2 linked regions of the Canis lupus familiaris genome follow. The protein of the gene in region 2 purifies or fractionates together with the protein of the main gene of each other region. This does not show direct contact. Links are inferred from orthologs where the notes say so. Each region holds a gene or a part of one and is shown on either strand. Other genes may lie near its edges.

Region 1 (3,810 bases), on a different chromosome or scaffold from region 2:
TCATGACAGGAACTGGTCTGAGAGTGCCAGCGCCAGCCTCGACATTTCCTTTCTCAGGTACCAACACAGCACCACCCTCGCCATTAACCCCATCCCACCAAAGGACCATGAGCCATCAGGGTCACAGCAACTGGCCAAAAGAGCATGGTCGGAAGAGAAGTCTCTACACATCACCCCCAAAAGGCTCTTACTTACCATACTTTTGCATAGGAGCCCCAGGATCTCCAGCAACAGAGAAGCAGCTTTGCCCAGGGGTCTCAGAGGTTTTGTAATCTCCCTATAGAGAAAAAAAGGAAATTACAGAGTGTTAATGGCTCACTCAGTCAGTACACTGCCCCATCCCTCCCCAAATCCAGGCATTGAACCTGCCATATGTACTCCCCCTCCCCAGCTTTCTTCTTGTCTTTACCTCCCCTGAATCCCCAAAGGGGGCTTACCTGAACAGCTCCCCCATAGGTACCCCACCTTCCTGCAGAATGGGCGTTATGAGTTCTGCTAGGTAGAGCCACACGTGGGGGATGTCAATTTCCATGTCTTCAGCCAATTCTAAGATTTCATACAGCCTGCAAATGGAATTCAAAGTCAGGGCATTCTAGGGGCACCTGGGTAGCTCAGTCAGCAGAATATCTGATTCTCGGTAATCAGCTCAGGTCATGATCTTGGGGTCCTGGGATTGAGCCCTGTCTAGCTCCATGCTCAGTGGGGAGTCTGCTTGAGGTTTCTCTCCCCTTCTACCCCTCCTTCCACTTGCCTGCCTGCCCTCCCTCCCTCTCAAATAAAAATAAATCTTTTAAGGAGAAAGAAATCATACATTCTAGGAAAGGTAAGCTGGACCCCCACCATCCCTCTGGGGCAAGATGACATTGTTAAAGGATCCACTGTGGAGACCCTCAAGAACACTTCCTAGACATGGGGCAATTATCTCAAGCCAAGGCCACACTTTTGTCCTTACATGGTACACTCTACCCCTGCCAAAAGTAATGCTAACCGGGATGGCTATACTCTCATCCAAGGTTCCACAGATCCTACACAAAGAAAGGAAGTCTGTGGGATGTAAAAGTAGAAGGCCCTCAGAAGACATACCCTTGGTAGTACTGAGCAGTGGAGAGGTGCCCAGCAGAGAGCAGCTGGTGCAGCAGCCGCCCCATATGCTCACGAGCAATGGTGCTGCGCTCCAGTGTTGACTCAATGCCATGTCGCACAAAGATGAAGAGCAGGGAGGGTGAGGCCAGCTCCTGTACACACTGCACTGCCTCCTGCAGGAGTGTGGGCAGGAGGGAGAGGGCAGTCACTGTCTGGTCCTAACCCCACACTCCATGCATGTCAGCACATGTCCCTCCCTGGCCACCCTGCTGTCACTGAGACACCTCCCACTGCCTACCTTCATATCATTGAGATGGAGATATTCCTCAATGATGGCCTTGGATTTCTTCTCCAGCTCTTCCTCAGAAAGCGCAGCTTTCGGGGGACTCACTGGGGGCAGGGTGGCTTCTCGCTTCACTGAAGGGGGGAGAAACAGATCAGAGACTCTTCAGTTCCAATTTTCCTAGCAAGAAAGACCTGGAGCTCTGAAGACTGGAGGCTGGCTAGTCCCAAACCCACACCTTACCTTTCCCTTCCTCTCCCGGTCCCTTACCGGCATCCCGCCCACGGTCCCGATCCTCTGTGAGGCTAGCTGCCTTGCGCAGTCCCTCAGGCTGGGAGGGCCGCTCTCTACTTCGCTCCTCCACTTCCTTGCTGAAGCTCCGCTTGGTGGCAGGTGTCCGAGAGCGATCGAGGCGGTCCCCACGGTCACCTCCCCGTTCACTCCGCTCTAGGCGGTCTCCCCGGTCCCCAGCTTTCTCACCTCTTTCCCGACTCAAACTACTCCTGGAGAAAAAACAGGCATGTCACCTCTCACCTGTACTGCCTAGGCACTCTCCTGTAGAACTTTCCAACAAGCTCAGCAATCATCAGGCATAGTTCCTGGAATCTGGAATGTGCCCCCATCTAGCCATGGACTATGAGCATTACAGATGTGAGGATTCCTATGGCAACCACCAAAGCCCAATCCCAGTACTCCCCACGTGAAAAACAAAGACACTCGCAGGGGAAGCCTCACCTCTGTACCACACGTCTGCTGTCTGTGCTTTCTGTAGGTACTGCTTGTTGAAGGGCTGAGAAGCGGTTCAAGGTACTAGTAGCTGGACGAGCAGCTTCTGATGCTGGGGAGGCAGAAAGCCCACATCAAAATCTCTTCCTACTTTCTTCCATTCCATCTCCTACTCGCCAGTTTAGGACACTTGGTCCTACTCCCAACATGAACACAGTTCATTCAGTCCCCCTCGTCCCAAGCATAAGCCTCCTGTTATTACCCAACCACTTTATACAAAAGCCTCTCCTACAAATAAGGCTCTGCCCTCAAATAAGAGGATTCCTAGGCCCCCAGCTCCTTACGATGGCCTCAAGTACCTGCATCAGAGGGCTTGGCTCCTGAGCCTCCACTGCTGCCCTTGCCCCAGCTCAATCGCCCTCCAGGTGCAAAGAGCTGGTTGTTAGAATCAATGGAGCCAGGCTGTGGAAGGAAACGGGAGTGGAGTGGAGCATCAGTCTGATCTGGCCAAAGCCCATAGCTACACAGTAGCAAATGGCATAGACCAGGAGCCAGGCAAACTTTTCCTCTAAAAGGCCAAATAGTAAATACTTAAGGCTTTGCATATCATATAGTTTCTATTTCAACCATTCCACATGGCCACTGTAGCACAAAAACAGTCACTCGCAATACTTAAGGGGAATGAATTTGGTCATGTTTTCTAATAAAATTATGCATGCTGAAATTTACATTTTGAGTAATTTCATTACTCAAATCATCCATTTTATTTTTTTCAACTGTTAAAACTGTAAAAGCCGCTTCTTAGCTGTGGAATGTAGAGAAGGAATGGGACAGATCTGCTGTGCGAGTTTGCTGGCCCAGACAGATGTGAATACATCTTCTTGAGCTGGCAGTCCTGTCTCTAGGAGTCTAACCAGTTAGTCCAAGAGGAAAGCCATCACCTTTTCAACCTCAGAAGTAAGGAGATGAAGATCCAAATCTATGTTCAATGCCAACTGATCCCTCTTTTCCCTCCAATGACCACTACCACTAGGTAGTGACACCCTCCAATACGCCCCCCTACCTTCGTGATCTTGGTGAGTCGTGAGGTGTCGATAGGGCGGCTGCCCTTGCTGATGGGGACTGTGTTCCAGCCACCATCATCCACAAGTGGGAGGCCACGACCTGGGACAAAGAGTATATTACAATAATGAGTAACTCCTAGCCCCCCGATCACCTGGGGCTACCCCCAGACCCCCTTCCTCAGATCCTCAGTTCCATCATGTGGTCTCAGTGGCCCAGACACGTGGCACTAACAAGAAGTCATCAGTGGAAAGTTTAACCCCTCACTCTGCCCCCTCGTAACCGGAGTCCCAAACTCACTAATGGGTGGGCCTGGAGGGCCACCCCGACGCTTGTCACTGCCCTTGGCCATTAGCTGCTGCACTTTTACGTGCTCCCAGTGCTCCTCCATCTCAGCCTCCTTGTGGATCTGGTCAATGGTCTTGGGACCCTGGTCCCCACGGCGTGGCACCCAATTGCTCTGTGGGGACAGAATGCCAGTCACAAGATAATCATATCAGAGGGCCAGACCAAGCAATGTTGGATACGCATACAGGCAGCAGACCAGCAGTGAGAAGGAGAGGACACACACCCGTCGCAGATCCAGCACGTCTTGCAGCATAAAGCGGATTCGGGATGAAGTCTTCTTTTCCTTAATGATTTTTTCCATCTGGTTG
Region 2 (4,496 bases):
TCAGAGTACAATCTTAGGGAGCTTCACCTTTACCTCCCTTCAGTCATCTAGTCCAATGGTCATGTCCTTAACCCCATCATCATCCAGAAACCTTCTACCTGTGAACTGTAAACATCAGTATCAGTCTTTTACCACAAATTTCTGTTCTAGTTCTGATACCTTTACTCCCACTTAGTTTGTTTCTTGACCTAAGACTGCTAGTCCCTTGAGTTCTCCATGTTTTTCTAATCTACTGGCACCACCCATACCAGGCTTCAAGCACTTCCCCCTCCTCCACAGACCACAATGCTGCCACCCATGTGTCTGTTTAATTCCACTTCACTATGGTTTCTGCTCCCTTTGCTAAAACTATGTCTTCAAACCCAGCGGATAAATATGCTTATTTGACCTCTAAACAGGAATTCAATAAACTTGACCATTTCACACTTCTGAAGCAGTTTTAAGTCTTCTGCATTTCCATGCCACAATATCCTTCAGTTAAAGCATTTATCACATTGTATTCTAATTATTTGCATATATCTTCATCTTGAATTTAAGGTTAGAACAGAAGTTATTTTATCAAACTTTGAATTCAAAATATGTAACAGTTTTATGGTATTTAAACAGTACCAGTCATTTCATTTAACCAAATTAAATGTTTCATGAATTAACATCTGAGAATATTCAGAAGCTCCTCGTGAGCAGTCTGTGTTTAATTCTTCAGTGAAGTACTGTCTCTATAACACTGAGCATTATACCATTATCCCAGTCTGGAAGAGGATCTGAAGAGCTAGACTAGTTGGTCTAACTAGAGTCACTAGAGTATCTGGGGGCTCTGAGCATTCTCCCTGGGTTTCTTTAAATAGCTCCAGTGGATTTGGAAAATTTGGCAGTGCAGCTCAAAGAGTAAATAGATTAGTATTCGTCAAGTGCCAACCTTTGTTGCAAAAATCATTTATTTCAGAAGCTCAAAGCAGGACACATTTACAGAATGCTACTATACTTTGGAGGTTAAGAATGGAGGTGAGGGTGGTAATGTGAGACAAAGAACTGACACTTAACACTTTTCCTGGGAACCCAGGAAATGAGTGAAACTTAAATGAGAGAGAGCAGGGAAGACATTTATGTCAAACAGAATACAAAGGCTTGGTTTGAGAAAAACCTTGATGTTTGGAAGATAATGGATCAACTGAAGGTTCTGTGAAATGCTAAATCTTCAAAGAGAGGGCAAATGTGTGTGTGTTGCAAGGCAGGGATTGGGGGTGTGGGGGTAGCCCTGATGTGGTGGAAGACTGCAGTCAACCGCGGTTTTGTACCTAATGGTCTGCCAGCAGTGAGATGCTTTTGGTGATAGTTTAGTTTCTGCAAAGACTAAGTCTAAGTGCCCCGAAAGAACTAGACTTCAGGTAATTTGTCTCAAGGCACATGTTTTTTTTTTTTTTTTTTTTTTTTTTTTTTTTAAGATTTTATTTATCTATTCATGAAAGACACACACAGAGAGAAAGAGAGAGGCAGAGACACAGGCAGAGAGAGAAGCAGGCTCCATACAGGGAGCCCGATGTGGGACTTGATCCTGGGACTCCAGGATCATGCCCTGGGCCAAAGGCAGGCACCCAGCCACTGAGCCACCCAGGAATCCCAAGGCACATGGTTAATATTTGGTGCAATCTACCGTCAAATCTTGTCCCCTTTGCAATTCAGTTGTCTTCTATGCTAGAAAGACTATTACATACATATTCAAGAATAAGAGAAATGACAAACGAGGCTAGAGTCCATTTACAAAGGGATCTAAAATTGGTGACAAGGATGGAAGGAAAAGGACTTTGATGGGATCAGCAGTTCCCAAGAGAAAAGGGCATTATTATCAGTAATCCCTATTTAGCTTCTCAGCTTTACAAATTAACATATCAGGGAGATTAAAAAACATAAGATCAGGATTAAATGTTTAGAAAAGCAGAATATCATTAAAAACCTAAATAGGTTTCTGCCAAACTTGTTGAAAGGGATGTCTTTTTACAGAAGTCCCTACTTCTTTACCAACTGGTTTAAAACGTCCTCGTAAACACCTGGAAAATAAGGACATTTAGACCGTGGAAGGGGGTGGAAGGCGGCGGGGGGGGTGGGGGGCAGCGTTTAGTCGAACGTTTAGTCAAACGTTTCTGACTTCCTCGTCGGCATCTGAACTCATTTTTGGCAGTCTGGGACTAATCACACTTGACCTCAAATGCTAGCGGGGAGATTAAAAATAAAACATAAAACCAGGGGCAGCCCGGGTGGCCCAGCGGTTTGGCACCGCCTTCAGCCCAGGGCGTGATCCTGGGGACCCGGGATCGATCATTCGGCACACGATACTTATTCAGTAACGCACTACGGCTTACGTATTCTGTGTCGACCAAAGTGACAGCAACCTGGCAGGAAAGTGCGAGTTCCTTCAAGGAGGGAAGTCGCGGCAGAAAGACGGGATGCAGAAATAGGTCAAGAGGTCAATGGGATAAACGGGAGGCGAGAGGGTCAATGCGGTTTGACCACTCACCCAGCAGGGTCCCGATAACTCGGGCAGCGCCCTCGTTGCGTCGCTCGTAGCTGTCCACGATGGAAGCCAAAATGACCGGGTGCAGCCGGACCACGCGGCCCCCGGGGAAGGGGCCTGGGAGAGCAGGACCCGGCAGTGACTGCGCCGGAGTCTGCGCTGGGGCTGGCGTAGACGCCGGGGTCTGGCCCGGAGCCGCAGTCGTGGCCGCCGCAGTCCCCGGGTCTGAGGCAGAGGCTGGAGCCGGCGTTGGAGCTGGGACCGGCGCTGGAGCCGGAGCCGGCGCTGGCGCTGAAGCTGGGGTTGCGGCCGGGGCTGAGACCGAGGTTGGGGCCGCGGCCGGGGCGGAGGCTGGGGCTGGGGTGGCGGCAGGAGCACTCGCCGGGGCTGCCGGTGTGGCCATCTTGTCGAGAGAGAAGGAGCCGGGAGCGGAAGGGAGGGAGTTGAAAAGTAGTAGAACACGATAGGCTGAAGATGCACCACGTGAACGAGATCTTTATGCCGATTGGCTACCGGTAATGCTTCTCACGGCACAGTTTCCGGCTCTGAGTTTGTGCTCTTTGATTTCAGACCGATGAGCACTCAAGTGAGGACGGAGCTGAATAGTTCCGGACAAACTTGAGACGGCGATGAGAGAAGAAACCGCTCCGACTGCTCAGCGGCCGCCAGGTGGACCCAGAGTTTCCAGACTTCAAAGGGGTAGTGGACGATAAAGTGCGTTTTAAAGGCACTTCTTCACCGCGTCAGAAGGTGTGGGTGCGGCGGCTTCTTCAGTCACCAGTGTGAATAGGTGCCAGGCGCTGTGTTAGGCCCTCGGAATGTAGATCAGAGGACAGAACAAGGATCGTTGTCCTCAAAAATGCCCAATATCTAGCGGAGAGAGACAAAAGGGTATATAGTATGTTACAGGGTGATGGATGCTATGAAAAAGGAAAAACGAGCGGGGAATAAGGGAGAATCAGAAGGTAGGGTGGGTAACAATGAGAGCGTGAGATCTGAGTGGATTGAAGGAGGCAAGGGAGGGGGCTGTTTTTTTAAAAAAATATTTAATTTATTTGAGAGTGAGCATGAGTGGGGTGAGGGGCAGAGGGAGAAGCAGACTCCCTGCTGAGCAAGGAGCCCCGTGCGAGGGCTGAGATCGTGACCTGAGTCGAAGGCAGATGCTCAACCGCTGAGCCACCCAGGTGCCCGTGGAGCAGGTGTTTTTTTTTTTTTTTTTTTTTGAAAAGGTCCTAAGTTCAATTTTGGAGGTGTCACCCTCATTAGACATCCCAGCAGAATTGTTGAGTGGTCAGGTGGAGATGCTAGTCTGTGCTTTGGGAGAGGGTTTCAAGGAGTAACCCTCTGTAAAGCTCTTAGCATGTGCCTGATACATAGAAGTTATTATTATTATTAAATATTTTATATATTGATTCATGAGAGACACAGAGAGGCAGAGACATAGGCAGAGGGAGAAGGAGGCTCCCTGCAGGGAGTCCTATGTGGGACTCAGTCCCAGGACCCTGGGATCACCACCTGAGCCGAAGGCAGATGCTCAACCCCTGAGCCACACAGGTGCCCCTACAGCCGTTACTATTATTAAGCGGAAGCTATTACCACCGCTATGCAATGGAAAAGAGCTCTGATTCTAACATTGTGTGTAACTTTGGGCAATCTATAATTTTTTCGGAGTCTCAGTTTCCTTCTTGGTACAGTGGGAGTGGTCATATCTACCTGCCAGGAAACCAATCAACTCCTTTTAATTAGATCAAGTCCTGGCATCCAATTGGCAAGTCCAAACTGGGTGAGGTTGGACTTCCTAGCCCTGACCCTTATGTCCAAGAACTGCCTTCTCTTTGGAGCTACCTTCCATAATTAGAATTCACATGATCCAGCTCCCCTGTCAATGTTCTGGGCAGATATACCTTCTTTTAGTCCGCACTTCTACCCCCGCAACACAGTTGAACAGTCTATTGGAGGAGGATTGAAAAGGACCTCAGATTTGGTA

Evidence for each region.
Region 1: the proteins of EIF3F (region 2) and EIF4G1 purify together in Homo sapiens (affinity purification with mass spectrometry; 3 studies listed by BioGRID, with this or other methods). This does not show direct contact. The link is inferred for Canis lupus familiaris from reciprocal best matches to the Homo sapiens genes EIF3F and EIF4G1.

Annotation. Positions count from the first base shown.
Region 1 is NC_049255.1:17,374,461-17,378,270, reverse strand, and holds part of EIF4G1 (eukaryotic translation initiation factor 4 gamma 1), read right to left. Parts: coding exon 3,726-3,810; intron 3,615-3,725; coding exon 3,455-3,614; intron 3,407-3,454; exon of another isoform or gene 3,331-3,406; intron 3,257-3,330; coding exon 3,156-3,256; intron 2,555-3,155; coding exon 2,452-2,554; intron 2,205-2,451; coding exon 2,102-2,204; intron 1,870-2,101; coding exon 1,610-1,869; intron 1,501-1,609; coding exon 1,382-1,500; intron 1,257-1,381; coding exon 1,084-1,256; intron 564-1,083; coding exon 438-563; intron 278-437; coding exon 196-277; intron 1-195.
Region 2 is NC_049242.1:32,120,458-32,124,953, reverse strand, and holds the start of EIF3F (eukaryotic translation initiation factor 3 subunit F), read right to left. Parts: upstream 2,937-4,496; 5' UTR 2,913-2,936; coding exon 2,513-2,912; intron 1-2,512. UniProt on the Homo sapiens protein: Component of the eukaryotic translation initiation factor 3 (eIF-3) complex, which is required for several steps in the initiation of protein synthesis.